Linked DNA regions of Mus musculus. The protein of the gene in region 5 binds, or shares a complex with, the protein of the main gene of each other region. Links are inferred from orthologs where the notes say so. Each region holds a gene or a part of one and is shown on either strand. Other genes may lie near its edges. The genes, in order: Calcrl, Trpm3, Grk2, Ptgdr2, Gnb1, Adgrd1 and Ffar2. A codon is read from its position in the direction of its gene.

Evidence for each region.
Region 1: the proteins of Gnb1 (region 5) and Calcrl are in contact, whole or in part, in a cryo-EM structure (PDB 6UVA), measured with the Homo sapiens proteins. The link is inferred for Mus musculus from reciprocal best matches to the Homo sapiens genes GNB1 and CALCRL. Residues at the interface, in NP_001269468.1 of Homo sapiens: Arg52, Phe292, Ala309, His311, Asp312; in NP_001258680.1 of Homo sapiens: Lys167, Ser168, Ile394, Arg397, Asn398, Gln401.
Region 2: the proteins of Gnb1 (region 5) and Trpm3 are in contact, whole or in part, in a crystal structure (PDB 6RMV), measured with the Mus musculus proteins. Residues at the interface, in NP_001153488.1 of Mus musculus: Lys57, Tyr59, Trp99 (codon at 303), Val100 (codon at 300), Met101 (codon at 297), Leu117 (codon at 249), Tyr145, Gly162, Asp186, Met188, Cys204, Asp228, Asn230, Asp246, Arg314, Trp332; in NP_001349418.1 of Mus musculus: Lys615, Arg616, Lys618, Ala619, Lys621, Leu622, Leu623, Gly624, Met625.
Region 3: the proteins of Gnb1 (region 5) and Grk2 are in contact, whole or in part, in a crystal structure (PDB 5UKL), measured with the Homo sapiens proteins. The link is inferred for Mus musculus from reciprocal best matches to the Homo sapiens genes GNB1 and GRK2. Residues at the interface, in NP_001269468.1 of Homo sapiens: Leu55, Ala56, Lys57, Tyr59, Ala60, Gln75, Asp76, Gly77, Lys78, Pro94, Leu95, Arg96, Ser97, Ser98, Trp99, Val100, Met101, Leu117, Tyr145, Ser147, Asp186, Met188, Cys204, Asp228, Asn230, Asp246, Ile270, Cys271, Asp290, Phe292; in NP_001610.2 of Homo sapiens: Tyr553, Gly556, Lys557, Asp558, Phe584, Pro585, Asn586, Arg587, Glu589, Pro597, Gln598, Leu600, Thr602, Glu604, Ala654, Leu657, Val658, Val661, Pro662, Lys663, Met664, Lys665, Asn666, Lys667, Arg669, Pro671.
Region 4: the proteins of Gnb1 (region 5) and Ptgdr2 are in contact, whole or in part, in a cryo-EM structure (PDB 8XXV), measured with the Homo sapiens proteins. The link is inferred for Mus musculus from reciprocal best matches to the Homo sapiens genes GNB1 and PTGDR2. Residues at the interface, in NP_001269468.1 of Homo sapiens: Thr50, Arg52, His54, Leu55, Gly310, His311, Asp312, Ser334, Phe335, Lys337; in NP_004769.2 of Homo sapiens: Cys59, Arg60, Arg62, Lys314, Arg317.
Region 6: the proteins of Gnb1 (region 5) and Adgrd1 are in contact, whole or in part, in a cryo-EM structure (PDB 7EPT), measured with the Homo sapiens proteins. The link is inferred for Mus musculus from reciprocal best matches to the Homo sapiens genes GNB1 and ADGRD1. Residues at the interface, in NP_001269468.1 of Homo sapiens: Arg52, Asp291, Val307, Ala309, Gly310, His311, Asp312, Asp333, Phe335; in NP_942122.2 of Homo sapiens: Ser593, Val594, Ser595, Arg598, His819, Lys822, Val823, Leu826.
Region 7: the proteins of Gnb1 (region 5) and Ffar2 are in contact, whole or in part, in a cryo-EM structure (PDB 9CM7), measured with the Homo sapiens proteins. The link is inferred for Mus musculus from reciprocal best matches to the Homo sapiens genes GNB1 and FFAR2. Residues at the interface, in NP_001269468.1 of Homo sapiens: Arg52, His54, Leu55, Asp312, Ser334, Phe335; in NP_001357016.1 of Homo sapiens: Arg37, Gln38, Pro39, Gln40.

What each region holds. Positions count from the first base shown.
Region 1 is NC_000068.7:84,331,267-84,334,766, forward strand, and holds part of Calcrl (calcitonin gene-related peptide type 1 receptor precursor), read right to left. Parts: intron 2,413-3,500; coding exon 2,188-2,412; 3' UTR 1-2,187. UniProt on the Homo sapiens protein: G protein-coupled receptor which specificity is determined by its interaction with receptor-activity-modifying proteins (RAMPs). Together with RAMP1, form the receptor complex for calcitonin-gene-related peptides CALCA/CGRP1 and CALCB/CGRP2.
Region 2 is NC_000085.6:22,986,708-22,990,207, reverse strand, and holds part of Trpm3 (transient receptor potential cation channel subfamily M member 3), read right to left. Parts: intron 3,353-3,500; coding exon 1,900-3,352; 3' UTR 1,415-1,899; coding exon of another isoform or gene 1,392-1,414; 3' UTR 1-1,391. UniProt on the Homo sapiens protein: Constitutively active, non-selective divalent cation-conducting channel that is permeable to Ca(2+), Mn(2+), and Mg(2+), with a high permeability for Ca(2+).
Region 3 is NC_000085.6:4,303,423-4,307,594, forward strand, and holds the start of Grk2 (beta-adrenergic receptor kinase 1), read right to left. Parts: upstream 2,801-4,172; 5' UTR 2,593-2,800; coding exon 2,480-2,592; intron 1,772-2,479; exon of another isoform or gene 1,700-1,771; intron 1-1,699. UniProt on the Homo sapiens protein: Specifically phosphorylates the agonist-occupied form of the beta-adrenergic and closely related receptors, probably inducing a desensitization of them. Key regulator of LPAR1 signaling.
Region 4 is NC_000085.6:10,935,905-10,939,959, forward strand, and holds the start of Ptgdr2 (prostaglandin D2 receptor 2), read left to right. Parts: upstream 1-1,255; 5' UTR 1,256-1,357; intron 1,358-1,817; exon of another isoform or gene 1,818-1,968; intron 1,969-2,505; exon of another isoform or gene 2,506-2,932; intron 2,933-3,061; 5' UTR 3,062-3,152; intron 3,153-4,055.
Region 5 is NC_000070.6:155,539,861-155,543,360, reverse strand, and holds part of Gnb1 (guanine nucleotide-binding protein G(I)/G(S)/G(T) subunit beta-1), read right to left. Parts: intron 2,806-3,500; coding exon 2,742-2,805; intron 331-2,741; coding exon 168-330; intron 1-167. UniProt on the Homo sapiens protein: Guanine nucleotide-binding proteins (G proteins) are involved as a modulator or transducer in various transmembrane signaling systems.
Region 6 is NC_000071.6:129,176,750-129,180,249, forward strand, and holds part of Adgrd1 (adhesion G-protein coupled receptor D1 isoform 2 precursor), read left to right. Parts: intron 1-1,299; coding exon 1,300-1,403; intron 1,404-2,419; coding exon 2,420-2,531; intron 2,532-2,793; coding exon 2,794-2,947; intron 2,948-3,500. UniProt on the Homo sapiens protein: Adhesion G-protein coupled receptor (aGPCR) for androgen hormone 5alpha-dihydrotestosterone (5alpha-DHT), also named 17beta-hydroxy-5alpha-androstan-3-one, the most potent hormone among androgens. Also activated by methenolone drug.
Region 7 is NC_000073.6:30,818,393-30,822,660, forward strand, and holds the start of Ffar2 (free fatty acid receptor 2), read right to left. Parts: upstream 2,801-4,268; 5' UTR 2,715-2,800; exon of another isoform or gene 2,597-2,714; intron 2,586-2,596; exon of another isoform or gene 2,347-2,585; 5' UTR 2,285-2,346; intron 2,158-2,284; exon of another isoform or gene 2,029-2,157; intron 1,896-2,028; exon of another isoform or gene 1,723-1,895; 5' UTR 1,722-1,722; coding exon 729-1,721; 3' UTR 1-728. UniProt on the Homo sapiens protein: G protein-coupled receptor that is activated by a major product of dietary fiber digestion, the short chain fatty acids (SCFAs), and that plays a role in the regulation of whole-body energy homeostasis and in intestinal immunity.

The DNA.
Region 1 (3,500 bases), on a different chromosome or scaffold from region 5:
ATCTCAGCTACACTCGGTATAGTAAAAAAATAATAAAACTTAAAATTACAATACCTTTTAAGTATGTTCTCTGGTAATTCGGCATTCTGTACTACCATTTATTGTTAATACTTGACAGTTTGTTTAGAAGAATGCAGAATTACACGAACACTGTCAGCGAAGATATGAATAATCAATACCTAAAGTCTGAAGGTATTAAAAGGAAGGTTTGTACGGTTTAAGCAGCTGAAAGTTCAGAAAATTACAAATATAAAAAAAAAAGAAAGAAAAAAAAAAAAGAAAATTACAAATATGTCTGTCAGATCATGTAATACATCAGTGCTTGATAATTTGAATTCTTTTCCTTGACAGTTTCAAACAACTTTTTAATTTATTCTCTTCTATAGCTTAAGACAATGAGTGAGGGCTGAGTCACTCCTCTCATCCACTGTAAACTGACAGACACACTTTAAAAAACATGGACTCATGTAACTGTCCCCAGAGTGACTTTTACTAACTGAAGTCAATCTTGTTCTTCAGAAACTCCAAACCAAGCAATATTGGAAAAACTAAATCCATTTAAAATGTCACTTAAACTCACAAGCAAAATCTTCTTCTGTCTTAATTTAATTATTACTTAAATATCTGACACTTCATCCTCAATGAGTGGTAAGTTCAAGTCTTCCCGTGGCTTGTATTATCATCCACAGTAGTCTACTGAAATACTGAAACAGTGTTATTACATAGAGAAAATTCCTCTGTGGTTCATAAAAAAATAATAACCTGGGTCTTTTTCAAAAGCATGTATCTTCATTTAGTAAAAATCAGTAAAGCTATAATTTAGTGAATTAAAGCCCACAAATGTAGCAGACTAGCACTTCTTACAGTAGTTGTTCATAATTTCTGAATTTGAATGAGTTGTCATCAAATTGGAATATGTCATATTGGAAGCAGTATGTCAGCACACCAAATATATCATGCTTGTAAAATTATGGCTTTACATTTTTAAATAAATATTTCATATCTTATCATTGATATTTCTGGGGTTTGTTTTTAGTTCTCAAACTTCTGATGCTGGTATCTGTTTGTCCTTAAAATATTTACCAAGTATAGAATTCATGATTCTATTTTACTATAAAATAAATCAGCCCAGACACAGTATCAGATACTAAGTTGCATATAATGTTGCATCATCTATCTGCTTTAAAAGTTACCTAGGTTGTGTTTTGAATTGAAACAATAAAATAAAATTACAGAGTACTTACAGTTTCATTTGTACAACCTCTCTCTCTCTCTCTCTCTCTCTCTCTCTCTTTCTCTCTCTCTCTCTCTCTCTCTCTCTCTCAGATTCCCAAGATAAAAAGAAATCCTTCATTGATTCCCTTCATGTAAAATGGTTGATCACTTACTTATCTACACAGTAGAAATGGAAAGGCCAAAGTTTCTATTTACAGATTCCAGAAAACTGATTTCCTCCTATTCTTGCCGAGAGAGAGAGAGAGAGAGAGAGAGAGAGAGAGAGAGAGAGCTGACAAGGTGTAGCTTCTACCAATATGTCTCCCTAGTGATTCAGAGTGCATATACCACAGGATACAACAATATGTAGCAGCAACTAAGAAGCCCATGGGAATTCTGCTCAGTTGCTTTTCTTAAAGAAAGTAACATGAGACCACAGAGATAATGAACTCTTTGTCTAGTCTACAAGAGAAGTTATAAAGAGGGTTAAAGTGTTTCTGGACAAACCATTCACTATCACCAAATGACAAAAGGATGAGGAGTTTTATAACAAAAACCAAACTTTCCTTTCATGTCTGTAAGTCCGAGTGAGGTCTCCTCAGATGAGAAGAGCAGAGTTCTGGTCAGTGTGGGTGAGAGTGTGCACAGACTTCCATCTCTGAGGGCATGCAGTGCTGTGCAGGTTCCAGAACATGTCAGCTCCTGGGAGTTGTTTGTGCTTATTTTCTTTCCAATTACACATTCAGTGATGTCAGGTTGGTAACTTGAAATCAGTTATGGTAGGAGTAGTTACTGGCCAACAATATAAATTGAGGCTTTTCTCCCCCATAGAGAGAGGGTTGTTAAACATTTATCCATACAATTCCCATTTCATTTGAGGGCTTTCTTCATGGTATTCCAGAAATCCATTTGCTGGCTATCCAATCTTTTGGCTATAAAATCATAGGTTCAAGTGTGTGATTTTATATATTTTCACATCACTAGATCATACATATTTTCTGATTTTAAGGCAACATTTTCAATATCCTGGATGCTTTTTCCATTTAAGTGTTCAGTGGGGCAGTCATGGCTGTACCCTTGCATGTCACTGATTGTTGACACTGTGTAGGATGCACTGCGGAGAGCATCAGAGTGGGAAAAGCCATTTCCAAATTGGATTTTATACTGGTTCCAATTTCTTCTCAGAATTGCTTGAACCTATTGATCAACAATAAACAGAAACAGCAAAAACAACCCATTAGTTGAGCTGAAAATACTCTATTTGATGCATAACAAAATGTTTGGCAGAAAAGCTTTTGCTCTTTAAAGGAAGAAGACCAAACTGGTCCTGGTCTATAATTTTAGTTACACATGAAACTGAAGGAGGAATACTGCAAGATCAACACCTGCCTGCATGCTAGTATTAAGTAAGCTCAGACCTACCTAAGTATCTTACTTATATCTTGTATAAAAATAAAAGGTAAAGGAGAGAAAGAGAGAGAATGAGAATTAGCTCCTTAGTAGGTTGTTCACTTCGTATTTATGATGCCCTAAATTCTCTTCCCTATGTTGTTCTCATGAGAGTTGGGCATGTCCTATCTTTGAATCAGTCTTTTAAATCTTTCTCTGGTTCATCACTTTGTCTATCCCTCAATTAGATGTTTCTTTCAAACATGACTGCTTCCTTCTGTAAACTAATCTTACCTGTATTGTTTGGGATTAAAGGCATTTACTAAAGGCTTGTTTGCATTCCAGCCAGATCACAGAGACCCAGAAGGTCTTTGGATATGTGGTTTCTTGCCAGAGCAGTCATTTTGCTGGATTAAAATTCCTCTAGCCCATAGCTTTCTTTCTTAAAACAAATGTGAAGTTTAATGCCTTTTTTCCTGACTGAAATTAAAGATTATGAATAATTGTGTCAGATACACTGACTTCTATTTTGATTGAATTAGGACTCTAGAAAGACTTCCTTCATGCTGAGTCCTTAAACACAAATGAAAATAGTCAGCTGAGTCTTAGATGCCATCATCTTTATACTAACAGATCTGATAACTGTGTACAGCCTGAGTAGAGGCTGGCCAGTTTTAGGTCATAATATATTTGCCCCATCCCTGTGGTGTAATATATGTTTGCCTAGATGTTTGTTGTTTGAATAGATTTTCCCAATCTGCCATCTAATATTTTGTGCCTGCACCCAAAGGAATCTAAGAATAAAAAGAAATCTAGTAATTCATATACTCTTAACATCCTCAGATATTAAGAGTATATAATTAACTTTCTGTTCAAAATATTTGTGTAAAGTCCAT
Region 2 (3,500 bases), on a different chromosome or scaffold from region 5:
AATCCAAAGATTTGTGGTCAAGATTTCTTTATCCCACTTCAAGTCCAGGTTCTATTCTAGAAACATATGCCTCCATCCTAGATGGTGTAATACAAACTGGCTTAGAAGCACTCATCTATTCAGAGTGTATTTGGTGGTAATAGCTTTGTGTCAGAACAACCAGAGTAAAAGGGATTTCATGACAATGGATGCTTCCAAATAGAAGGAGATTGGGGGGGGGGGGGGAGGGGGAGGGAGGGGGGGAGGGGGAGGGAGGAGACCATTTGGACAGTTCTTGTTCAGTGAAAAGACAGGTGAAGAAGACCAGAGATATTTTTTCTTTTGAAAATTATAATTTCAACAGTGGGTCCAATAGCACAATAAACTTTTTCCAGAGAAACTTCTTGGACACTAAAAAATAATCTTAGTTATACCGTCAGATGACAGAAAGTCAAAGCCTTTTAAGAAATCTCTGTCTGTATACATACTGTATATAAACATGAGTCTGTATGTGGATGTATATGTAAGCAGCATAAACTATAGAATTCTGTATATGGTAAAATTGCTTTCTATTTTAGCCCTACTGTATCTTTTTTATAGCTTTGTAAATAAGAAACATATTCATGGCCTACCTGCAACTGATGGGTTTGGGTTGCTATCAAGCCCCTACTCAAATCTAAGGTTATTTATGGTTTTTAAACTTCCTTAAAAAGTACTTTGGAACATTTCCATAAAAAAGATACCAGCCCTTGAAAAACTCTGATTAAATTTATGCTGAGCCCAGATTAGATGGCTAAAACTCTAGGTATGAAAATATCCACATATAACCATGTGTTCAAATACAAAATGGTCACATGATGAGCGGTATGGAAATTTGGCAGTTACATCTTGGAGGTGTCTGGAGGACATAGTGGAGACATGCAGATGATGAAGGCCCACACAGCAGCGTCACACACTATGAACGGTGAGACTGTGACAACATCCCACTGGCAACTTAATGTTAGATCTTCCCACCTTTTCCTTAAAGTTCAATATTACACATTTGACGAGTGAATTCTTTGATGACAGGTGAGATACAAAATAACTTACAAATATAAAAGTATCTGAGTACATTCATCCTGAGCTTCCTTGACTATATTTGATTGCCCGTGGTATATTATAAATCATATGACTTTTGCTTTCAACATCAATTCTTCTTTCATTTTGATCGCAAGACAAAAAAAAAGGCATTTTTTTTCTGTTCCCTTATTTTCTTCTAAAGAGATAAACAGTTGTGGCACCAGAGGTGAATAGATAAGAGACAGGTGAACTGTATATATGACTGTTACCTTGGTTTTCTTTATAATGACCAATTACAGAGGTGTTGGCATGAGAAGGATGTGGGACGTTAGGTAGAACTGCTTGCTGCCGGCTTATACTGAATAAAAAGGATGTTCTTCATCAGTCACCAGTGATGGAACCAATGTGAAAAGAAAACAGAATGGAAGTTTAGAATATCTCATCTTGTACGCTGCCTACTCTTATTTCATTTTGCAATTTAGCCCTCGACTCTTGATAACAGGGCCGAAATCCCATGATGCCTGTTGGCATGGAGAGTGCTGAAGCCCATTGGCTCCCAGAGCTCATGACTTTCTCTGGTGCCTGGTGACACCCATTCATCTCTAGCCCCTGTCTGTTGTCTTTACCCCTCCCTGCCCAACAGATAGGAACATGCTTTGACCCCTGTGTTTTGCACTGGACCAGATGGAATGCTTGCTTGACCTGTGGCCCAGAGGTTACCTTTGAGTTAATGTCTCCCATTGTTTTGCTCAGCTAAGAATAAAGCAGGTCTAACTCAAGGAAGGGGGAACGTGGTGGTGGGCATTGGGGAGAATTTTAGCGCTGGATTCTCGAGCCTCCTGCAACACACGGTAAGCCGGTTTAGTTGTGCTTGCTTTCAAAGCTATGAAAGGCCGATGTTCTAGACAGTCTCCTCATGGATAGGCTGTCCCCTCGGCCCTCCGGCTTGGAGGACTTACTTCTCTGGAAGGGATTTCGGAGGCTCGCCGTGTTCCTCTGTCTATCAAGCTTGTCACTGATGGAGAAGCTCTTTCTGGTATGTGCATATGGCACGTTTGGCTCCTCTGCTGAGTAGCTGTTGGCGCGCTCTATCTTGGGAACTGTGATGTTGTTGGATAGGGTTCTGTCTGCATTTTCAGCCTCCTGAGAGGATATCGGATTGGCAGCTCTCTGGCCTCTGGCCTCATTTTCCTCACTGTCAGAGCTAGGATGGCTCAGCTCTGCTTCTCGCTCAGGGTGGCAACAAGATAAATCTTCCACTTTGTCTCCGAGACCTCCAGGGAAGGTGGCTCGGTCAGCTATTGCTTGGGGGGCATTGACACATCTTGTGTCGATACAGTCTGTAATACTTGTGTATTCTGCCGTTTTCACGGGCACCCCAAAGTTGGCGTAGTAGCTCCTTGAAGGAGAAAACATAAAGCTATGGGATTTTACAATGGGAGCCTCTTCCAGAAGAAAGGGCGTGGTGGCTAGGTAGCGGCTACTCTTGGAACGCTCGATGGTATGGTACGTTGGAGGGTCTGTGTCCCAGGGGTTTTGGCATTCTGGGAGGTGTGTATAGTCTGAAGAAAAAGATCTAGTGTCCATGGAGGTGAGGTCTTCAAAATCAATGCTCCTACTGGGAGGTCGGTCTGTAGGTGCGAGCGTTGCATAGGCACTACTTGACGGGGTTGTGGAAGGTGCTAGAGCTGAAAAGCTTGGCTCACCCAGCCCAAGGATGTTCATGGAATTATCCAGAGGCTCTATATCACAGTGGAGCTCGTCCATGGCAGAGACATAGATGTCTATGCAAGATGATGGTCTTCTGGAGTCAGGAACAATGGCCAAGGTGTTTGCAGGGGCTGCAGGAGCTTTGGGTTCTTTGGCTACTGAGTGGGAGCTAGTAGCTCGGTGTAAGCTCAGGGACCTTTCTTTGAAAATGCTTTCCAACTTTTCTATCCCACCTTTGTCTTTCACATTGACTGAATAGAAAGAATGGCTTCGCATACGGGGCATTAAGGTTGGAGAAGTTGGGGATATGGTCTCCTCACCTGCAGGGTCTATACTCTCTTGAAGTTTGAAGGTGTTCCCTTCCTGGCTGTTGAAGCTGCTCTGGCGGACGATGTAGGCTGCATCTGTGCAGTCTGAGGAGGTCCTTGAGCGGATTTTGTTAGACTCTGCCCGCTCCAGACCAGTCAGGCGCTCCAGGGCGGTGGCCATGCGCCCGATGAGGTCCTCTAGCTGTGCTAGCCGGATGTCCACGGTCTGGAGTGAAGCCTTCATGGAATGTTCTCTCTCATTAACTTCCTCCAGCCTCATGGACATGTTCTCCACCCTGTATGAGAAGCAAAGAGTAAGAGTCACTTGGGTGGGTTCCTCTGCTGGGGGAGTTGGAGGATCAGGCTAGCAGATGTCAAAGCTGTGCTCGACTATGGGTAAAGGGAGAGGCTGAAGGGGAGAGAGTGGCGTTCCTGCTGCTACTG
Region 3 (4,172 bases), on a different chromosome or scaffold from region 5:
ACAGCTCCCACGACAAGTGGTTTCAGCCATCCCATCCCACAAACCAATTATATGGGAGTGGGGGAAAGAGACAAAGCACTGACAGGAAGAGACTGTGGTTGGGACTCCAAGGACCTGTGACCCAATCCCAGATCTTCTGTGTGACAAGCCTCAAAGCTCGGTTAGTAAATGAAGAAATACCACCTGCTGGGTCAGCCAGCGTCCCAGAGTTGTGAAGACAAGACACTTCACAGATTGGGATATATTGGGCACACATGAGACACGATCACAACTACCTTCAAGGGTGAGAGATACCTGCCTCAATAGTGTGCAGAGCGCGTCACCACGTAGGGAACCTGCCTTCCATCATGAGAGGCTTGCATGCCTAGGGCCACAGCACTGCAGGGTGACTGTCTGAGCATACCAGTGGGCAGAGTTAGAGGCTCCTAACCATTCACAGACTGAGCAGTTGGCCCAACAACATCCTACTGATGGTGACCCTGCACCTGTGGTATCGCTTCCTAAAACTCACAGCCTGCTGCAATTTTGTTCACAGCTATTACCCCATCCTGGTACTGTTGGCCTTGCCAACTTCACATGTTGGTTTTTGGATCAACTGAGATGACAGATGTCAAAATAAATAATGAATTATTAAACTTTCCATTCTTATTCAATCACATCACATCACAACTGCCACCATATGAAAAGGTAAAAAGAAAGAGGTACAGCTCGTTTTTCAGGGTTCTTGAACACCAGCAAGGAGACGACCGGAGGTAGGGTCTATTAGGAGCAATGCATTCTGGGGAAAGATTGTCCAGACACAGAGAGTTCTAGAAAAGGCACCACCTTAAACTTTGCAGACCTCCACCTGCAGAAGAACCCCATGGCTGTGGCCGCCCAGGAGAGCACTACAAGCCCAAGATGCGGACTGCCCCTCCCCCACTCTTCCCTTTAAGTTTTGTCATTTCTGAACTCATTTTCATCCTAACTGCTGCTGCCCCTAGACAGCCCCAGCTGACACTCAGTCTAGTTCCTGTTTTGAGAAATCTGATTGCAAATGTCTTAGAAAAAAGGGGGGCCCAACGGCCTCTTCAAAACACAGACCAATTTTTCCTCTACAGGGCTTGGTTCTCAGTCAAACTGAAACCCAGTGTGCAGCCACTGGAGGAGGGGGCACGGTGACAGGCACAGCAGCAAGCCCGCAACCTGCCCACCTGGCTCTAAGGACAGAGGACACCAGAGGCCTATTTCACACTGCCCACTGGGGGTAGAGCATGTTCTACCACAGAGAATGACAGTAAAATCAAGGCCAACTCTTGGCTGTTAAAGGAGTTGGCATGGGAGGCTACTGGGACTGGCCTCACCACCCACCAGGAGGCATCCTGGTGGGTGGACACATCTCCTCTTCCAGATGCAGGACAGACGTCCAGGCCACCCTTCAGGTCAGGACAAAACATAAAACTCGAAGCTGAGAGCCCTGATGTGGAGGCCAGGTGACACTGCACAAGCCATTCCAGTCTGAGTTGTTTCCCCTCTCACACACACACACCTTGTTCTATGGGAACAAAACTACACCTGTCTCACTCGCTCTCTGGTCTCCTGTGCAGCTCAAATAGGAAGATAAGTCTATTTACCATAATATACTGGACAAGCCCCAGCTACACCTCTCACATCCTGCCCTGTTCTGCACCCACATCCTGGACAGTTTAAACTTTGATACCAGGTGCGATGACATCAGTTGTCTTGTAGAGAGGTGGCAGCATGGTCCATCTGCTGTAGGATGGGAGGTCCCCTGGTCAAAAGTACCCATAAGGAACCACAAGTGGGGAAAAGGGTAAAGTAGGGACTTCCCTCACCCACCGGAGCGCAGCCCTCAGGAATGGTACACTGCACTGTCCCCAGAAAGCACTCTCAAACCCAATCCCATAGTGACCCCACCATAGGGGAAGGCAAAATAAATAAATAAATAAATAAATAAATAAAAGTCTTCAAATTGGTCCTCTTCACTCCACAAACCTCACAAGAGTGTTACCCACTCCACGGGGAGTGGATAGGGTAGTGGAATACCAACGGGAGCAACAGACTGTGTGATACAATCGGGTAAACAGAGGCAGACTTGAGGAAGGGAACCACAAGGGAACACGAGAGGGTAGAGGGCAGAGCCAAGCATCAGGGTGGAAAGAAGGCTGCAGCAGAGTCAGGGGCTGACAGCGACCAGGCCGGGCAGTGAGATACAGGAAGCGGCAGGGCGGCCCAGGGCTAGGAGCTTGGACTTGGGGCGCCCAGGGCTTGCGGACACCAAGCCTTGCGGCGGCAGGGACAGAGGAAGTCTCCGGGTCCTGGGGCGGCCAGAATAATGGGGTCTCCGGGGCAGAAGGTCCCCGGAGTAGAAGGGGTTCCCGGGTCCTGGGGCAGAAGGTCCCCGGAACCTGGGGCGGAGGGGGTCCCTAGGGCACGGGATCCCGGGGCGGCGCGTGGGGCCCGGCACAGGCGGGCTCACCTGGGCTCTGGCAGCAGGATCTTCTTGCTGGCGCGCGCGGCCGGCGTGGCCTTGCTCTTCTCCATGGCCATCAGGTAGCTCACATCGGCCAGCACCGCCTCCAGGTCGGCCATCTTGGCGGCGGCGGCGGCGCTGTTCCTCCCGCCGCCCGAGGCTCCGCTCCGCTCCCGCTCGCTCGGCCCGGCCCGGCCCGCGCGGCTTGTGGGCCTCGGCGCCGCCGCCGCCCCGCCCGGTCCTCGCTCGTCGCCGGCTCACAGGCGGCGCCGCCCCATGGCGCCGGCTCGGGCCCGGCCCGGCTCGCGCTCCGCTCCCGCCGGGACTGCAGTCGGGGCGCCGCCGCCGCCGCCACCACCACCACCACCCGCTCGCCCGCGCCCCGGAGCTGCCGCCGCCGCCTCCGGCCCCGCCTGCCGCGCACAGCGCCAGCGAGCCGCCGAGGGGCCGAGCCGGGCGGGCGGCGGGCGGGCGGGCAGGCGACAGCGCCCCCTAGAGGCTGCACCGCTCGGGTCCGAGACACGGGTCTCAGTCCTGGTTTGTTACCTGAGTCTTCCACCAAGGACTCTAGGATGACCTCAGACCCCAAGCCATGACCACAAACGCGGATCCCATCTCAGCATGCTAGACTGCACGCTCCACTAGGGCCAAGACCGTGGGTCCTAACAAGAATCCTGACACCGACCAAGACTCCTATACTCAAATTTCTGAACATTCTCTCAGAGTCACACCATCATTACCACCCCTGACTCCTGACCTGACCAGATGACAATCCTGACTTCAAACTCCCAACAGGACCCCAGACTCAGAGCTTGGGCCGCACTCCTGACATGAACGTTTGTTGTTGTTCTTGTTTTAGAGAGGGTATCCCCGTGTAGCCTTGGCTAGTCTGTAACTCACTATGTAGACCAGGCAGACCACTAATTCACAGCGATCTGCTTTCCTCTGCCTCCCAAGTGCTGAAATGGATTAAAGGCATAGTCCATTAAACCACACTCTGATGAACGCCGAACTCATTAATTGATCGATCGATTGACTGATCAGTTGATTGATTGTGTATGCACATGTGGAGGTTAGAGGACAGACAATTTGACCATCAGTTCTCTCTTTTTACCACATGGGTCTCTAGGGATGGAACTCAAGGTCCTCAGGCTTGGTGGCAAACATTTTACCCACTGAGCCCTTCTGTGCCTTCTTCCTTGGCCAACTCCTGTCTACTTTACCTGGCTAGCACACGAGAGGCAAAAGCAGGTGTCTTTCTGTAAAGTCAAAGCCAACCAGGGCTATAGAGTGAGACCCCGTCTTAAGCAAATGAGTGAAAGCAATTTAAACTGCACACCTCTCTAGAGCACCTCTTTGCTTTCCAGGCTGCCAGGACACTCCCACCCCAGGCATGGACACTTAGAACCTGATTCTCCTGCCAGTTCGTGTCCAGCAAAGCAAGTATCCCGACTCCCCTGACTTCTTGACTCCTTCAGAAGAAAACAAATCCTATTAGGGGAGAAAGGTTGTCAGCGGACGACATCTCTAGACAGATCCTGCCTCTACTTCTCCTTTCCTAGGTCACCACTACAGCCTCCTGAGAGTCCTCTGACCTGTCCATTTCTCAGGGTTCCTAAAACTGCCCTCTGATACAGGCTCTGACCAGAATGGCTGTCCCCAAATCTAGATCTGATGGGATTACTGTACATTCAAGGCC
Region 4 (4,055 bases), on a different chromosome or scaffold from region 5:
TTTATATTTATATAAATATATAGCATATTACACACATGAGCACAGGCATACATATATATGGTGGAGTGATGGCTCAGTGGTTAAGGGCATTGATTGGTCTTCCAGATGATTAGGATTCAATTTCCAGCACTCACATCACAGTTCACAATTGCTGGTAACTCCAGCTCCAGTGGGTCCTATGCCCTCTTCTGGCCTCCATGGGCACTGCACACACATTGTGCACAGACACACATGCAGGCAAGATGCCTGCACGCAGCATAAAATATAGTAAATAAATCTGGAAAAAAAAAGATAAGGTGGAGGATGACGAGGAAGACACGTGATGTTGATCTCTGGTCGCCATACACAAACACATGTGTACTACAGTGCATGCACGCACACACATATATTGCACATACACACATGCACCACAAGGTGGCTGACCCCTGAAGAACAACAGCTGAGGTGTCCTCTGGCCTCCACATGCATGCTCATCTGCACCTGCATGTCTGCACCTATGAGTGCATACACACATGTATGCACCTATGTGTGCATACACACTCACACAAGTCAAGACAATAAGAAAATGTAAACCTTTTGTTGTTGTTTTTTCACGACAGGGTTTCTCTGTGTAACAGTCCTTGCTGTCCTGTAACTTATTTTGCAGACCAGGCTGGCCTTGAATTCACAGAGGTCCACCTGCCTCTGCTTCCCTAGTGCTGGGATTAAAGATGTGCAGCGCCATGCCTGGCTAAAATGCAAACTTCTAAGACTCGACCTTCTCCTCCCCTGGACTTGGGCTCTATTTCCCTTATTGTGAAGCAGCTACCTGCTTTGCCCACTTTTCTGTGGATGGGAAAGAAGCTGTCTTTGTGAACACCTACTACGTGCCAGATGCTCCCCTGACCTGCCTCAATTCATCCTTCCCACTTGCTATGAGAAGACCTGTTTCCTGGTCACCGGTGCAGCACACAGGAGAAATGACTGACCTCCTGACCAAGGGTCTCTGTGCTCTTCCCACGGCCCCTACGTTTCCTCTAGTTCTCTGGGGACAGGGGCCCATGCTGCCTCAGAAGAGCTGGAGTGCTTCTCCTTGGAGAATCGTGGTGTCTGGGGATTGGCAGTAAAGGACTTAAAACACTGTCCTCTGGGTTCCAGAGGCTCCTCCACGAAGAGGAGCTTCCAGGGGCTGGTGGCCTGGATGGAGATGAAAGACTTTGAACATAGTGTCCCCGCCCCTACTCTTGGGGCTGACAGCTATTTCCTCCTTCAGCTCACTCTCCTCCTGCCACTCGCCTGGTGCTCAGTCCTGCTGCTTTCAGAAGCTGCCAGCCTTCACGACTCAACCCTGTGCTCACTGTGTTCACTGTGTGGCTCGGTAAGGAGGCAGCCTTCCAGGGGCTGGGCAGCCTTGGTGCACTCTCAGGATTAGAGAGAGGGCTACTCCTAGCTGGAGTGATAAGGGGCTGGATGAGCTTAAGAGCCTGGTGGGGCCTGATGCGCAGAAGGAAGGATTGTGCTTTCCTGGGTGTTATCTAGATGGTAGACACAATGTGTGAGCTGTCTGATCATGGCCACCATGCTATCTCAGGAGAGGGGACAGGATCACTTGGTGAGCTTAGAGAAACTGACAAGTTCACCCAGCTGGAAGTTGAGTTCATGCTCAGGGTGTTGAAAAGCTGGGGTTCCCAGTAGAACAGGATCCTAGCTGCTTGGGTGCCCCAAGATCCCGGGTCTTGAAACTGTCTTCAGACAGCCTGAGGGATCAGAATGGGTGGTTCTGAAGAGTGCAGGAGCGCTGTCTTCTGAGCATCCCATGACACTGACAGTGCAGCTTGAAGGGATGTCTCACAGCAGAAAGAGAATAGCTCACATCTGTCTGCTGGGATCCTGGAAAACCTCAGTCTCCCTCCACAGCACTGTCCCAGCTTCTCTGCCCTTCTGAACCTCAATTTTCTCTTCTAAAAAGCTACCTTTCATTGGATTAATGTGAGTAGGACTGCTCTGCAGACGCTAAAGCTTAAAAAGTAGGATCAGTAAGAATTCATAGAGCTCAAAGATGTCAGATGTGCCTGCTCCCTTTGACCTAGCTCCAATAGGTATTCTGTCAGGGATCTTCTAGGTTGGGGTCCCAGAGCTCCACCCTAGGAAGATCAGTGGCTTCTGGAAGGGTGTAGATTTTTCCATTCTGGCCAATAGAATTTGAAAGAGGAGTTCTGTTAGAAAGAGGGGTTCTGAGGTCTCTGGCAAGCTCCTATTTCCTGCTCTTCTCCATTTCTCTCTCTCTCTCTCTCTCTCTCTCTCTCTCTCTCTCTCTCTCTCTCTCTCTCTCTCTTTCTCTCTGTCTCTCTCTCTGTCTCTGTCTCTCTCTCTCTCTCTCTTTCTTTCTTTTTTTGGTGTTTTTGAGACAGGGTTTCTTTGTGTAGCCCTGGCTGTCCTGGAACTCACTCTGTAGACCAGGCTGGCCTCGAACTCAGAAATCCGCTTGCCTCTGTCTCCTACATGCTGGGATTAAAGGCATGCGCCACCACTGCTCAGTTCCTTCTCTTCTTCTATCATCCCACTTTCAAAGCTAGATAGACAGTAGCCTGAGGACTGAACAATCCCTCTTCCACATGTCTGTGTTGCGTGGCTCAACAAGCACTTTAGACTCTTGTGTCTCAGTTTTTTCAACTGTACAATGAATGGGATGGAGAGAGTCTTGGCACATTTCTTCCAGAGTCACAAGAAATAACATCTATTACAGGATCTACCACAGTACCTGGAGGGTTGTGGGTGCCTGGCACACCCTGCTTTCATTTCCTCTCTGCGGCAGAGTATACAATGTGATTCCCTTAGCCCTCCCTGGTCCCAGCTTCGTTACCGGGTCCTGGGGTTCTCCATGAGGCTGAGAACCTGGCTTGTCCAGAGCTCCTTAGTTGTTGCTTAATGTGCCTATTGGCCCAGTGTGTGGGTGAGTAAATGGGTATGGGTTTCCTGGGAAAGGTAGGACTGTCACTGCCTTCCCCAGATTCCTGTGTGATAGTTCCTCCAGCCAGGTCTCACGCTTGTCCTCTTATCTTATCTCCTCTCCTTCTATCAGAGGAAGGGCCAGCTCCCCTGGTCTCAACCAATCAGCACACCCGATCAGTCACTGAGGCTGACAACTGCTCTCTAGGAGGAACTGCAGAGAGGTAAGGCCTGTGGGGCTGGGTGGTACAAACCTCCCGTCTCATTGGAGGGGCTACCTTTCTGTGTTTTGGAGACTGGGAAAATAGGTCCTGCATGGCCTGACCTTTGTGATCTTGGACAAGTGCTTAATAGTAATCAAAATGGAATTGATACAGTGCCTGCTTTATGTCAGTTCTCTTGTGCATGTATGTGTATGTATGTGTGTGTATGTGTGTGTAAGCCAAAAATCAACCTTAAAAGCAGTCACCTTAAAAAATGACTTATTTTTATTATTTTAAATTGTGTATGTGTGTATGTACACATGAATGCAGGCTTATGTATGTGTGTGTATACATCAGATATCAACCTTGAGTCATGTTGCTTAGGATCTGTCCACATTAAAAAGATTTTATTGTAAAGTGTGTGTGTATGTGTGTTTGTGGGTACGGATGCGAATGCAGGTGTCTGCAGAAGCCAGAGGGGTTGGATCCACTGGAACTGAATTATATAGGCAGTTGTGAGCTGCCCCATATGGGTAGTGGAAGTCAAACACTGGTCTCCTGAAAAGCAGTATATGCTTTGCTGTGGAGCCATCCCTCTGGTCCCCTACCTTGTCTTTTTACGTTAAGGTCTCTGGGACCTGTTTCACTGAGTAGTTTAGGTTGGGTGGCCGGTGGGCCCTCAGGATCCACCTGTCTTTCTCCAGCACTGAGATTACAAGCACGTGTACCATACCCTACTTTATCCCTGGGTTCTGGGGTCAAACTCAGCTCCTCACGCTTGCATAGCACACACTTATATTTTCTCTAGCAAGCACTTACATTTCCCCCCTCTACCCATGCCCTTTTTAAATTGTTCTCGTTTTGTTCCAGTAGCCCTACAAACTAGAGACTGTTAGGCTCAGGAAGACTACACTTGGCTTGCCC
Region 5 (3,500 bases):
GTTTCCATGTTTCTTAAAGATGAAGGCATATTGGCCCTGGTTTGGCTTCACTTTCAGAAAATTTCTGGCCGTTACTTTCACTTTTACTTGAACCAATAATCAACAGATCACAAGAGCAGTATACATCCCAGTTAGCAGCTTACACCACTGGAACATGAGATGTGTACCTGTGTGTCCCGCCAGCTCACGACTCACACGCACATTCCCTTCACGAGTTTTCAGGTTGTAAATGGAGCAGATGTTATCCAGGCCACCACAGGCCACATAATTCCCAGAAGGAGCGTATGCGCAGGTCATGACCCAAGAGGAGCGCAGAGGGATGGCATGAACCTAAATAACAAGAATACAGACAGGAAACACTATTAAGTTCAAGAAAATATGACTACAGCTGGGTGTATAGTTTATGTTGTAGCCCCAGCACTCAGGAGGCAAAGGTAGGTGAATCTCTGAATTTGAGGCCAGCCAGGGCTCCATAGTAAAACTGTCTCAAAAACAAACAAAACAAAACAAAACCAAACCAAACCAAACCAAACCAAACCAAACCAAACCAAACCAAACCAAACCAAACCAAAAAACCCTAATGAGTAGATAGGTGTGATGGCATACGTCAGTGAATCTAGGAGTTGGAAAGCTAAGAGAAAGAAAAAGAGGGCTTTTTGTCGTGTCTGTCTTTTTTGGTTCTGAGACTTGAACTCAAAAGTCTTGTCCAGTAGGGTGTATATCACCAGCCCCGATGGCAAGTTTGAGGATATTTTGAGCTATACATAATGGAAAACTATCTCAAAGAAAACACAAATTATATTTGCATTTTAATGATTTAAGGAGTGATGTTAATAGGATTTGAAAAGATTTACTTTCCCCTTTAATTTATCATGGCTATGAGCTTAAAAAAAAACAAAGACAAGCACATAAAAAACAGCCAGGCATGGTGATTCATGCCGATCCCAGCAATAAAGAAGCTGAGGCAGAACTCATTCATATTCATTCTCTCTGACACTCACATGCAATAACCTAACTGCACACTGGTAACACAGTTAGTCTTGCTGTTTAGATAGAGCAGTTAACATTCTGTAATCTTGGCATGTATTTACTAATTTTGAGGGAAAATACAACTGTCCAATTTTTTTTCCTTAATTGATGACAGCATTAAAACTTGTCTTGAGATTTAATTTCATGTTATCTGTAGGAACATTTGATTAACTGTTGATTAACTGAGTACAGAGCCTGGAAAGCTAAAGGAGGGAGGGCTCTGGGTTCCCCTTTAACTGACACACAGAAGGCTGCAAACCACTACGCAGACGCTGGGGATAAAACTCAAGACGTTCTGGAAAAATCAGGCAGTGACTGAGCGATCTTTCCAGCCCTGCACCTTTTCGTTCGTTTTTGCAGGCAGGGTTTCTAGAGCTCTGGCTGTCTTGGAACTCACTTTATAGACAGGGTGGCCCCCTAACTCACAGAGATCTACCTGCCTCTGCCTCCCAACTTCTGAGATTAAAGTCGTGTATCACCACGCCTGGCTCGGCTCCCCGTACTTTATGCGCATGTGTGCTTGTGCACACGGAGGCTGAGGCTGACACGGGCCCTCCCCTGACTGCTCTCCACCTTCTTCTGTGAGACAGTGTTCCTCAGGACTGTCTAGAGCTCGTCTGTAGGTCTAGATAACCAGATTGCTTTGTGGATTCCTTGTCTCTGTCTTCCAAATGCTAGAATTATAGACTGGCCACTGCAACCACTCAGAATTTAAATGTATTCTTTTTTGTTTGTTTGTTTGTTTTTTTAAATTTTTTTTTAATTTTTTTTTTTTATTTATATGTAAGTACACTGTAGCTATCCTCAGATACTCCAGAAGAGGCCATCAGATTTCATTACGGATGGTTGTGAGCCACCATATGGTTGCTGGGATTTGAACTCAGAACCTTCAGAAGAGCAGTCGGCGCTCTTAACCACTGAGCCATCCCGCCAGCCCCGTTTGTTTGGTTTTTTGTGAATACTATTTTTTAGAGACAAGGTCTCATGTAGTTCAGGCTGGTTTCACTTTATTATGTGGGTAAGCATAATCTTTAATGCTTGAGGCTCTTGCTTACATTCTCAAATGATAGATTATGAGCATGTACCACCATACCCAGTGTAATTTATTTCAATATAAGAGAAGTGGAAATTTAATTCAGAGATTTGTACCTATGAGGCAAACATTCTACCTAGTATCTCTGTCTTCTCCTTTCCCCTATCTAGCCATGGCAGGTTTGCCCTCTGGGTTTATTCGATCATCCTACCTTAGCCTCCTGAGTTACTAGAATCACAGACTTTTACCAATCTGTTGGGTTACATTGGTTTTTTATCTTTTGTGGTTCTGGGAATCAAATCCAGGGAATTATGCCCAGTAGACAAGTATTCTACCACTGAGCTACATTCCCAATCCTCCACTAAACATTAAAAAGTATAGTGCATCTTAGATTATCTCTTGTTACTACAAAACAAACTACTAACTAAATGGAATCTGCATTTCAGTATTCTAGTAATAAATTAGGAAAGTTTCCAGTCAAAACTAGGAGTGGAGTGTAGCTCTTGTGCAAGGACAAGGAAGCACTCAGCTCCTATCTACATGCCAAGACAGGAACCACAGCACAACTGTATGCCAAGCTTAATGGGTCAGCAACACAAGCTCTTCTATCGCCCTCCGAGGTCATCATTGCTCCATCAACAGACTGTCACTGTTCCAGGGAGGGTCTTGCACTGCCCACCTTGTTTGTGGTATAACTGTCCCAGATGATGAGTTTTCCATCCTGAGAGGCGCTGACAAGGAGCCTGGAGAAAAGATAAAGGAAAAGAAAAAACAGAAACAAAAAATCTTGGTGACCAACTAGAGCTTTAAAGCTACATTCGCTTAAAATATAATACACTTAATAATAAGAAAGAGGATCTCAATGCTCGAGCAATGGAATACCATGAGTGTCAGATAACAACTCAGCCCTGGGGACACCTGGATGACCAGACTCCCCAGCTCTTCTCTTATCACCCGAGAGATGGTACTGATCTGACCTGCTTCTGACGGGTTTCTTTTTTATTCCAAGTTAAATTAGATACACAGAGACATGAGACATGTCAAATATTTAGGACACAGTTTTGTTCATACTGACAGCAAGAAAGCTTGAATATTATGGGAAAAGCTTGAAACACTACCCACTCAGGAACCATTTTAATCCATTTTAAACACCTGCCCTGTTTTTATTTATATTGGGGGTGGGGTGGGATAGGACAGAAGCTAGAGTCCTCTAAGGAAGAAGGAGCCTCAGCTGAGAAAATATCTCCATCTTATTGGCACATAGGTAAACCTATGGGTATGTCCTTGATTAATAATTGATGTGAGCATGGCCAGTTTACTGTGGGCAGTGTCGTCTTTGGGCATGTAGTCCTGGATGGCAGGCTAAGTAAGCCCTAAAGAGAAAGCTAGTAAGCGGTATTCCTCTGCGGTCTTTGCTGATTTCCTTTCATGATAGACT
Region 6 (3,500 bases), on a different chromosome or scaffold from region 5:
GGCAGTTCCCACCAGGACTCCAGGGACTAGACTCTGTCCTTTAGCCAGGAAGGTAGCTCCTTGTTGTGATTGGCAGCTTAGTCAATCTATCAACCTTGAGGAGTCTCCTGGCTTTTGATGAAAAAGTCCTGAATTTTATTCATTGTGAAGGACTTGTGCACCTCATTTCCCTGGTAAGCCAGGTGGCTGATGGGAGACAGAGAGACTCCTGGGTCCTGGTAGGAAGTATCTGAGGCCCAGATTCCTTATCGGACTCTCCCATGGGGTGACCTGAGCTGCAGAAGGCCTAGTCTCGATGTCTAATTAACTCCGTGAGGGGGTCATGGCATCTCCATCCTTCCACAGTAGCTGGGATGTTCATGCCCACCTGTACCTGCATTGTGTATCCATTTCCATAGGACACAGAATGCTGACAGCCTGGGCTCAGCCCCAGTAAGGCTCCTGCCTGTGGTCAGCAAATGATTGAGATGAGGGATACTCGCCAACCTCGAGCCGCCCAGCGAACCATGGTGGCTCTCAAGGCCTGGCTGTATCTAGGCTCTGTCCAGGGCCAGAGAGTGCATGAGGGGGAAGCTCAGCCTCCGTCAGAGCTGGGACACCATCCGGTAGAGCCAAAAACCCAGCCTTAACAGAACAGGGCCAGGTACCAGATGCTGAGGCATGGATGAGAACATCAAGCCCAGGCTGCTGGGCTCCAGTGGGATGCATAGTCTGTTACATATGTCTTGTATTGCATGGAAGATGGTCTGTCACAACAGATGTCAGTCCAGGTGACCACATAGGTGCCCACTTAAGAGATGGTCCCAAGGGCTGGTGTGTGCCTGCCAGTGAAGGCAAGTATATAGTGACTGTCAATTTGGGGGTTAGTGATACTGAGGACAAGAGACCTGGAAGTGATCCTCTCACCCAGCATGCTGTGTGTAGTTTTCCTAGCCTTATGTCTGTGCATCCACTGGTACCCACCTCAAGCCCCTCACTGTTGCTCTCTGAATTTCATAGCCAGAGGAGGCACATATCTCTGATCATCCTAGATCACCCATTCAGACATGGCTGGGAGTATGGTGGTAATACAGGCCAGGTAGCTTAAGTGGGGAACACAGCGGATACAACGGAGCAACCCAGAGCACGGGAAATGCCAACCCTGAATTCCAGTGTGGTGTAGCCCTCTTTCTGTGAGGCAAGTCTTGGAGGTTGGCATTACAAGGTCAGCACTGTGGGTGTAACCACTTTGGCACCATCCCAGCCAGGGGATGGGATGGATGGAAGGCCAGCCTCCCACATCTCCTTCTGTTCCCGCAGCTCACACATGGACACCAGGTGGCGCTGTCGTCCATCAGTTACGTTGGCTGCTCTCTGTCAGTTCTCTGCCTGGCTGCCACCCTGGTCACCTTCGCAGTACTGTCGTGAGTCACCCTCTCCTTGTGTCCCCAGGAAGTCTAGAAAGTTACTGGAAATATAAGTGTTTCCTGTCACTCTGGCCATTCCTCTGTCTGGCTCTGAAGACCCTTTGGGGGGGCGGGGGCATGCGTCCTAGCTAGTAGGGGTACAGATGTGACTATGTGACTGTTCTCCGGTGACTTTCACTTTCATATCTGAGGTGCAGAAAAAATGGAAATAGCAGGGCCTGTAGGGTAGGGTCAGCAGGTTTTAGACATGTCAGAAAGGTCTGGAAAGTCCCACCTTGGCACTTGAGTTCCGGTGGGATCTGAGCCAGGCGAGAGCTAGCACATACATCCTTGACTGCACCCTCATCAGCAAGCAATGGTGCTTGGTTTTGAGGCCAAGTTATGCATAAATGCCTTTGGATGGGGCCCATCAATAACCAAGAAAGCCAAAGAATAAATAAATGCCTTCTCGAGCAGTCTGCCACGCACAAGGAGACAGTGCAGAGGTGAGCATCTTAGGGTGGGAGGCCAGAAAGCCCTCCCTATTGGTAGTCATCCAGGCCTCCAGGAAGAGCCCTGCCAGGAATGACCATAAAAGAATGGCGGGTCCTGTAGCCACCCTCCTGTATCCAAGAGGCGCCCTCCCTTCCTGCTGCCCTCAATTTCGATGATGCCCATGACGTCATGGGGTGTATTTTCTGCAGGTTCTAATTTAGAATTTCAATTAGTTCCCTCCATCTCCCCCACCCCATCCCTCACAGTGGAAAGGGTGAAACAGAAGAGGGCCCAGGGAGGTTAGAGGAGCCACTGAACTTCCGGGAAGGGCTCAGGCTGTGCAGAGTGGCTGGAACTATGAAAGGAAGTAGGAGGCTAGCCCAGAACAACCAGGGTCCAAGCAGGGAGCTATGGCATGGGCAGGGGTAGGAGCTATGAAGATACTCATGGTTTCTCAAAGAGAAGTAGAGAGGGGACCCGAGTGGGGGTAGGATGTCGAGGCTGAGCTCCGGGACTTACACCCGCCTCTCTGTCTTCAGTTCTGTCAGCACCATTCGGAACCAGCGTTACCACATCCACGCCAACCTGTCCTTCGCTGTCCTGGTAGCCCAGGTCTTGCTGCTGATCAGCTTCAGCATGGAGCCTGGCACGGTGAGTGGGTGCTGACCCTCGGCCGGCAGCTGTCTCTTCTTGAGTCACGGCAGTGGCAGTGGCAGTGGGCATGGCTGGGGAGTAGCAGTGGGCATGTGGGGAGTGGCAGCAACACGGGCTGTAGAACTCTGGCCTGAGAAACTGAGCCTTGCCTCCCCAGGAATAAAATGAGGTCCTGGGAATAAATAAGAGTAAGCAAAGCCTCAGCACGGCCCCCCCATGTACCCCGTGGTCTCACCCTGCACCTTTGCTTGGCTACCAGGTCCCGTGCCAGGTGCTGGCTGTCCTCCTACATTACTTCTTCCTGACCGCCTTTGCTTGGATGCTGGTGGAGGGACTACATCTCTACAGCATGGTGATAAAGGTCTTCGGCTCAGAGGACAGCAAGCACCTCTACTACTATGGGATAGGCTGGGGTATGTAGTAGGGGAGGGGCAGAGGGCAAGGATAGGCTGGGGTGTGTGGCAGGGGTGGGGCAGATGGCAGGGGTGGGACCTATTAATATAGGTTGGGAGGGATGAGGTGGGCCGGGTAGGGATGGGGCAGATGGAATGGAATGGGTTCTGGTGGCAGAGAGGCAGAGCAGGTGACTGTGGGGCAGGGTTTGGTAGAGACGGGATGGGTTTAGATGGAGATGGGGTGGGTTTAGCTAGAGATGGGTTGGGTTTAGGTGGAGATGGTATGGGATGGGGGGGGGATCAGGTGTGGAGGGACATTGCTGGAGATGGGATTGGTCAGCGTGACTCATGGTGTATCAATATACCATTGTCTTGGAAAGAGTCTGTGTTTTGCTGTTGGACAGCGTGTTCAAACCCTGTCAGGCTTAGCTAGTTCAAGGTGACATTCGAGTTCTCCATTCTGACCTAGGTCTTTCCTCTGTTTGCTCTGCTCATTTTTTTTTTGAAGTGAGATGTTGACGTCACTTGGCCCGTTCCTGTTTCTGCTCCCTCTCTGCCTTCCTTTGACTTA
Region 7 (4,268 bases), on a different chromosome or scaffold from region 5:
ATTTTCTTTTTAATCCTTCCTTTCAGGTCATTGTCAATGTCAGACAGACGGGTACCAAGACATCTCCTAGACCCAGTGACTGGTGACACAGAGGATAAGCATGTGACCCAGATCCCGGCATAACAGTGGAGACAAGACCAAAATATGAAAATCAGCGGAGCACATGTACAAAGGACAGCTCAATCGGATATAGAAAGGCCAAGATCACCAGAGATGGGAGCCCTGTGTGTTGCCCGCCCTCAGCCCCTGCCTCAAGGCTGTGGCTTAGAGCTTTCCCGGCATTCCTCTTCTTCCCCCCATCTCCCCCCATCTTTTCCATTGGCTTCTTTCCAGCATCACCAGCCAGATCACTGTCTCTAGGTGGCATTTCCAAGCTCGAGGAAAAAAATTACTTTTATTACTGCACCCCTATTAGTCACCTTGCTTCTGAGCCCCTGACCCCACTGTGAAAATACAGTGTAAGGGTGTAGCCATTCCTTCTTGTATCCTGGAGCTATGCTTCTCTGGGCAGGAAAATTCAGTCAAGTGGTTCTGCTGAGCTGAGAGGGCAGTGGCAGATGGGTGGAGGTGTCTTTCTTTCTTTCTTTCTTTCTTTCTTTCTTTCTTTCTTTCTTTCTTTCTTTCTTTCTTTCTTTCTTAATCTTTTATCTTTTACCAAGTCTCAGGAGCTCTGCTAACCAGACCAACTTCTGGGTGACCCAAATGCTCGGGAAGATCCGGGGGACTCTCTACTCGGTGACAAATTCAGAACTCTGTACCCCTTCTGCTTGACTTCCACCCCTGTCCATCTTGGTCCCCTCCACTGTCTCTTTGGCTCCCCTGCCCAGCATAGAGGAGGCAGGATTGCGGATCAGTAGCAAACCTTTCCCAAAAGCTCTGCGCACCACGGAGGAGGAGAAGTAGAACAATAATGGATCCAGGCTGGCATTGAGGGAACTGAACACCACAGCCTCCACCCGCCACGAGGGGCTCTGCCTCAGGTAGAACCCCACCAGGTGGGACATGTTGTAGGGTCCAAAGCACACCAGGAAATTAAGAAGCGTCACAACAGCCAGGCCCACTGCCCGGCGTCGCCTCTGAGCCCCAACGTGGGGCTGCGTGAGCATGATCCACACGAAGCGCCAATAACAGAAGATGGTGACTGCCATGGGAACGAAAAACAGGACCAGGCACAGCTCCAGTCGTACGGGCAGTACCACATCCAGCTGCTCTTGGGTGAAGTTCTCGTAGCAGGTTATTTGGTTCTCAGTGCCCACCTGCTCAGTTGAGTTCAGGTACTGAACGATGATGACGATGGTGCAGTGGCCAAAGGACATGATCCAGGCCACCAGAGCAGCGATCACTCCATACAGTGGCCGGCGGGATAACTTGTACTGCACCGGGAAGGCCACTCCCAGGTAGCGTTCCATGCTGATGCCCGCCAGCAGCCACGTGCTGCAGTAGATGCTGCTGTAGAAGCCGAAGCCTGTCAGCGCGCACACGATCTTTGGTAGGTACCAGCGGAAGTTGGATGCTGCTTCCACGATCCGGAAGGGCAGCAGCAGCAACAGGAGCAAGTCCGCCAGGGTCAGATTAAGCAGGAGGATGTGCACAGGGGCAGGCTGAGGCTGGCGAACCCGGCCCATGAAGGCCCGCAGGGCCAGCAGGTTGGCAGGGAGCCCAGTAAGAAAGATGAGGATGTAGGCCGTGAGGATCAAGGAACTGTGCCAGTCTGGGGTCATTCTGGAAGATGGGGGGAAAGGTGTAGGGTCAAGAGCTCCCCACCTGCAGTGCACACAGCCTGCAGACCCTCTTTCCGGAGAGTTCTGACTGCTCACATCCTCTCTGGTTCTCTCCTGTCCTCAGTCCAAAGCTGTCTGCTCTTCACCACCGCTTGCTCAAGCCACCTGCCAGAACTGCCCAGAGCAATTATTGACTTAGCCTTGGGCGGGATATTAAGCTGCAGTTATTACGTTTGCCATCCTGTGTCTCTGGGGGAGACCAAGTTGACTTCCCACGGGAATTTCCCCTCTGCTTTCTAGGGCCCCTTTCCTCTGTAGCCTCACAGGTAATAGGAAGTAGCTGTGATCGGTTCCCTTTCTTGCTGCTGACTGTGGCTGGGGGCTAAAGCCTGGTGGGAGAGAGGGGAAGGCAGCCATAGAAGCTGGGAAAGATCAGGTAGGTGTGTGTCTCGGGAGAAAAAGGAAACTTCCAGAAGGCAAACCAACCCTGCTAACCCTCGCTCTCCTCAGCTTCAGGTGCCCACCCCCTGCCACCTCCCCAGCCTCCCAACCTGTCAGCTTACCTCCTTGGGCAAGTTCAGGGGTTTCTTCTACCTGGTTCTCCTCTGGTCCAGTGCTGTGGAACCTACCAAAACCGGGGAGCTAGGGTAGCCAGTTCCTTGCTCTATGGCTTGTCCCCCCCAACCTCCAAATTTTAGATACACAGCCCAGAGAGCACAGGTGGCTGGCTTAAGCTTGGTGCTTTGACTGTATCCAGGACTCCTCCTCTACAGGAGGTGACTTTGTTTCCACTTGGTTAGTAACTCTTGCTACAAACGAATAGTCACTCTCTCCCGGTCCTTTTCATTTCAAGGTCTATGGTTCCTTACACCCACCTCCACCCTCAGCCTCCGGGTCTGTGTTCTGACAGACATCCTGCAGCCTCCTCCTCACCCCACAGCTGCTCCTCAGATCCTCTCCCCTGCGTGCACACACCACACTGGCTTGCCTTGCCTGGTTTCAGAGAGAATGTTTCTTGGGGGTTCCTGGTGCAAGAGGAGTTTTAGCAATTATTGCAGCCAATTTCATACAGAAAAAGGAGGGGGAGCCAAAAATCATAAGGAACTTGGTTGGTGGGAAGATCTTATACTAGCATGGGTCACATGACCAGAGAGAAAGAGGCAGGTCAGTAACTGAGCAGTATTTCCTCTCAAACCCAAAGGGGGGGTGGGGGTGGGGGGCGGGGGGGTGCTGCGGCTCTGTCCTCTCCCTGGAGATCTGTTCTATTCCGATTTTGACAGATTTTTCTGACCCTACTTCCTGTCTCCCTGCCCCCAAACCCTGAGACACTGCCCCCCTCCTATCCTCCCACCTGCCTCTCCACCCGCTCCCACCCTCACCCCCTACCCCTGTCAGCTCCTTTTCTGTCTTCTGATTGGCTTCTTCAGAGCAATGTCTAGAAGGTCAATGTCATTCTCAGAACGAGGCTTCCCGTTTCCTGTGATTCCTCCCTTGTCTAACTTCTTTGTGGTCTCCTGGTGTCCACCCCAAGTTTCCTTCGGCCTTGTTGAGACAGACTGGCTTTCCCTAGCTTGTGTCTTGTTTTTTGGTGCACAGTTGGCCTGCTGCGGGCTGCCATCCAAGTCTCTGCACTGGGAACTTTGGGTCAGATCAGATTTTATGAACTTTCCTTTCCTTCTGCAAGCGAGCATGGGAATCCTAACTGCACTGCACATCCAGGGCCATCCAGTGAGGCTGGAGGCATGAGGCATCAGGGTCAGGGCCCCTGGTGCTTCCCTCAAGCCTCTGACACCTTCCTAGAAGGTGAAAGTTAGGAGTGGGGCCATACATAGGCCTGAATCCTAACTACTCTACAGGCTAAGGCCAGCTAGGCTACAGATGACAGGCAGGGAGGTTCACTCTCTGTAAGGGGTCCCCTGTGGCTGCTCTCAGAAGAGCTGCACGCTCTGCATCCTCCCCTTCCTCCTCCTCTTCTCTCCCACCCCTTGGTTTCTCTATGTCCTCTCCTCTGACCTGTTTAGTTACCTACGAGTTAGCCAGTCTTCCCAAGGCCTCCACAGGGCTGGAGAGATGTCTCAGTGGTTAGGAGCATTGGTTGCTCTTGCAGAGGACCTGAGTTCAGTTCCCAGCATCCACACGGCATGGCGGCTCACAATGTCTAGTTTCAGGAAATTGGACGGTCTCTTCTGACCTCCATTTACACTGATCATACATGCTGTATGCAGACAAAACACTTATATATATTAAAGAAAAATCCCCCAAAACATATACGTGAGAAAACAAGGGCAAGAACATGTTGCCTTCTCCACTCCTTCCCCATTCTTCCTTTCTCCCTCTGTCCCTCCCTTTTGTCTTTCTTTTTCTAGTATTAGAGATGGGTTCTAGAGTCATTTGAATTCTAGCCATGCCCCAGCCCCCTCACGGGGGAATTCTAGGCAGGGGCTCTACCACTGAGCCACGCCCCCAGCCCCTCACTGTCCTCAGACCAGAGTGGGTTGTTTAAAACTTCCAAAGGCCTTCCCCTAGTAACCTACTTATACTAGCCAG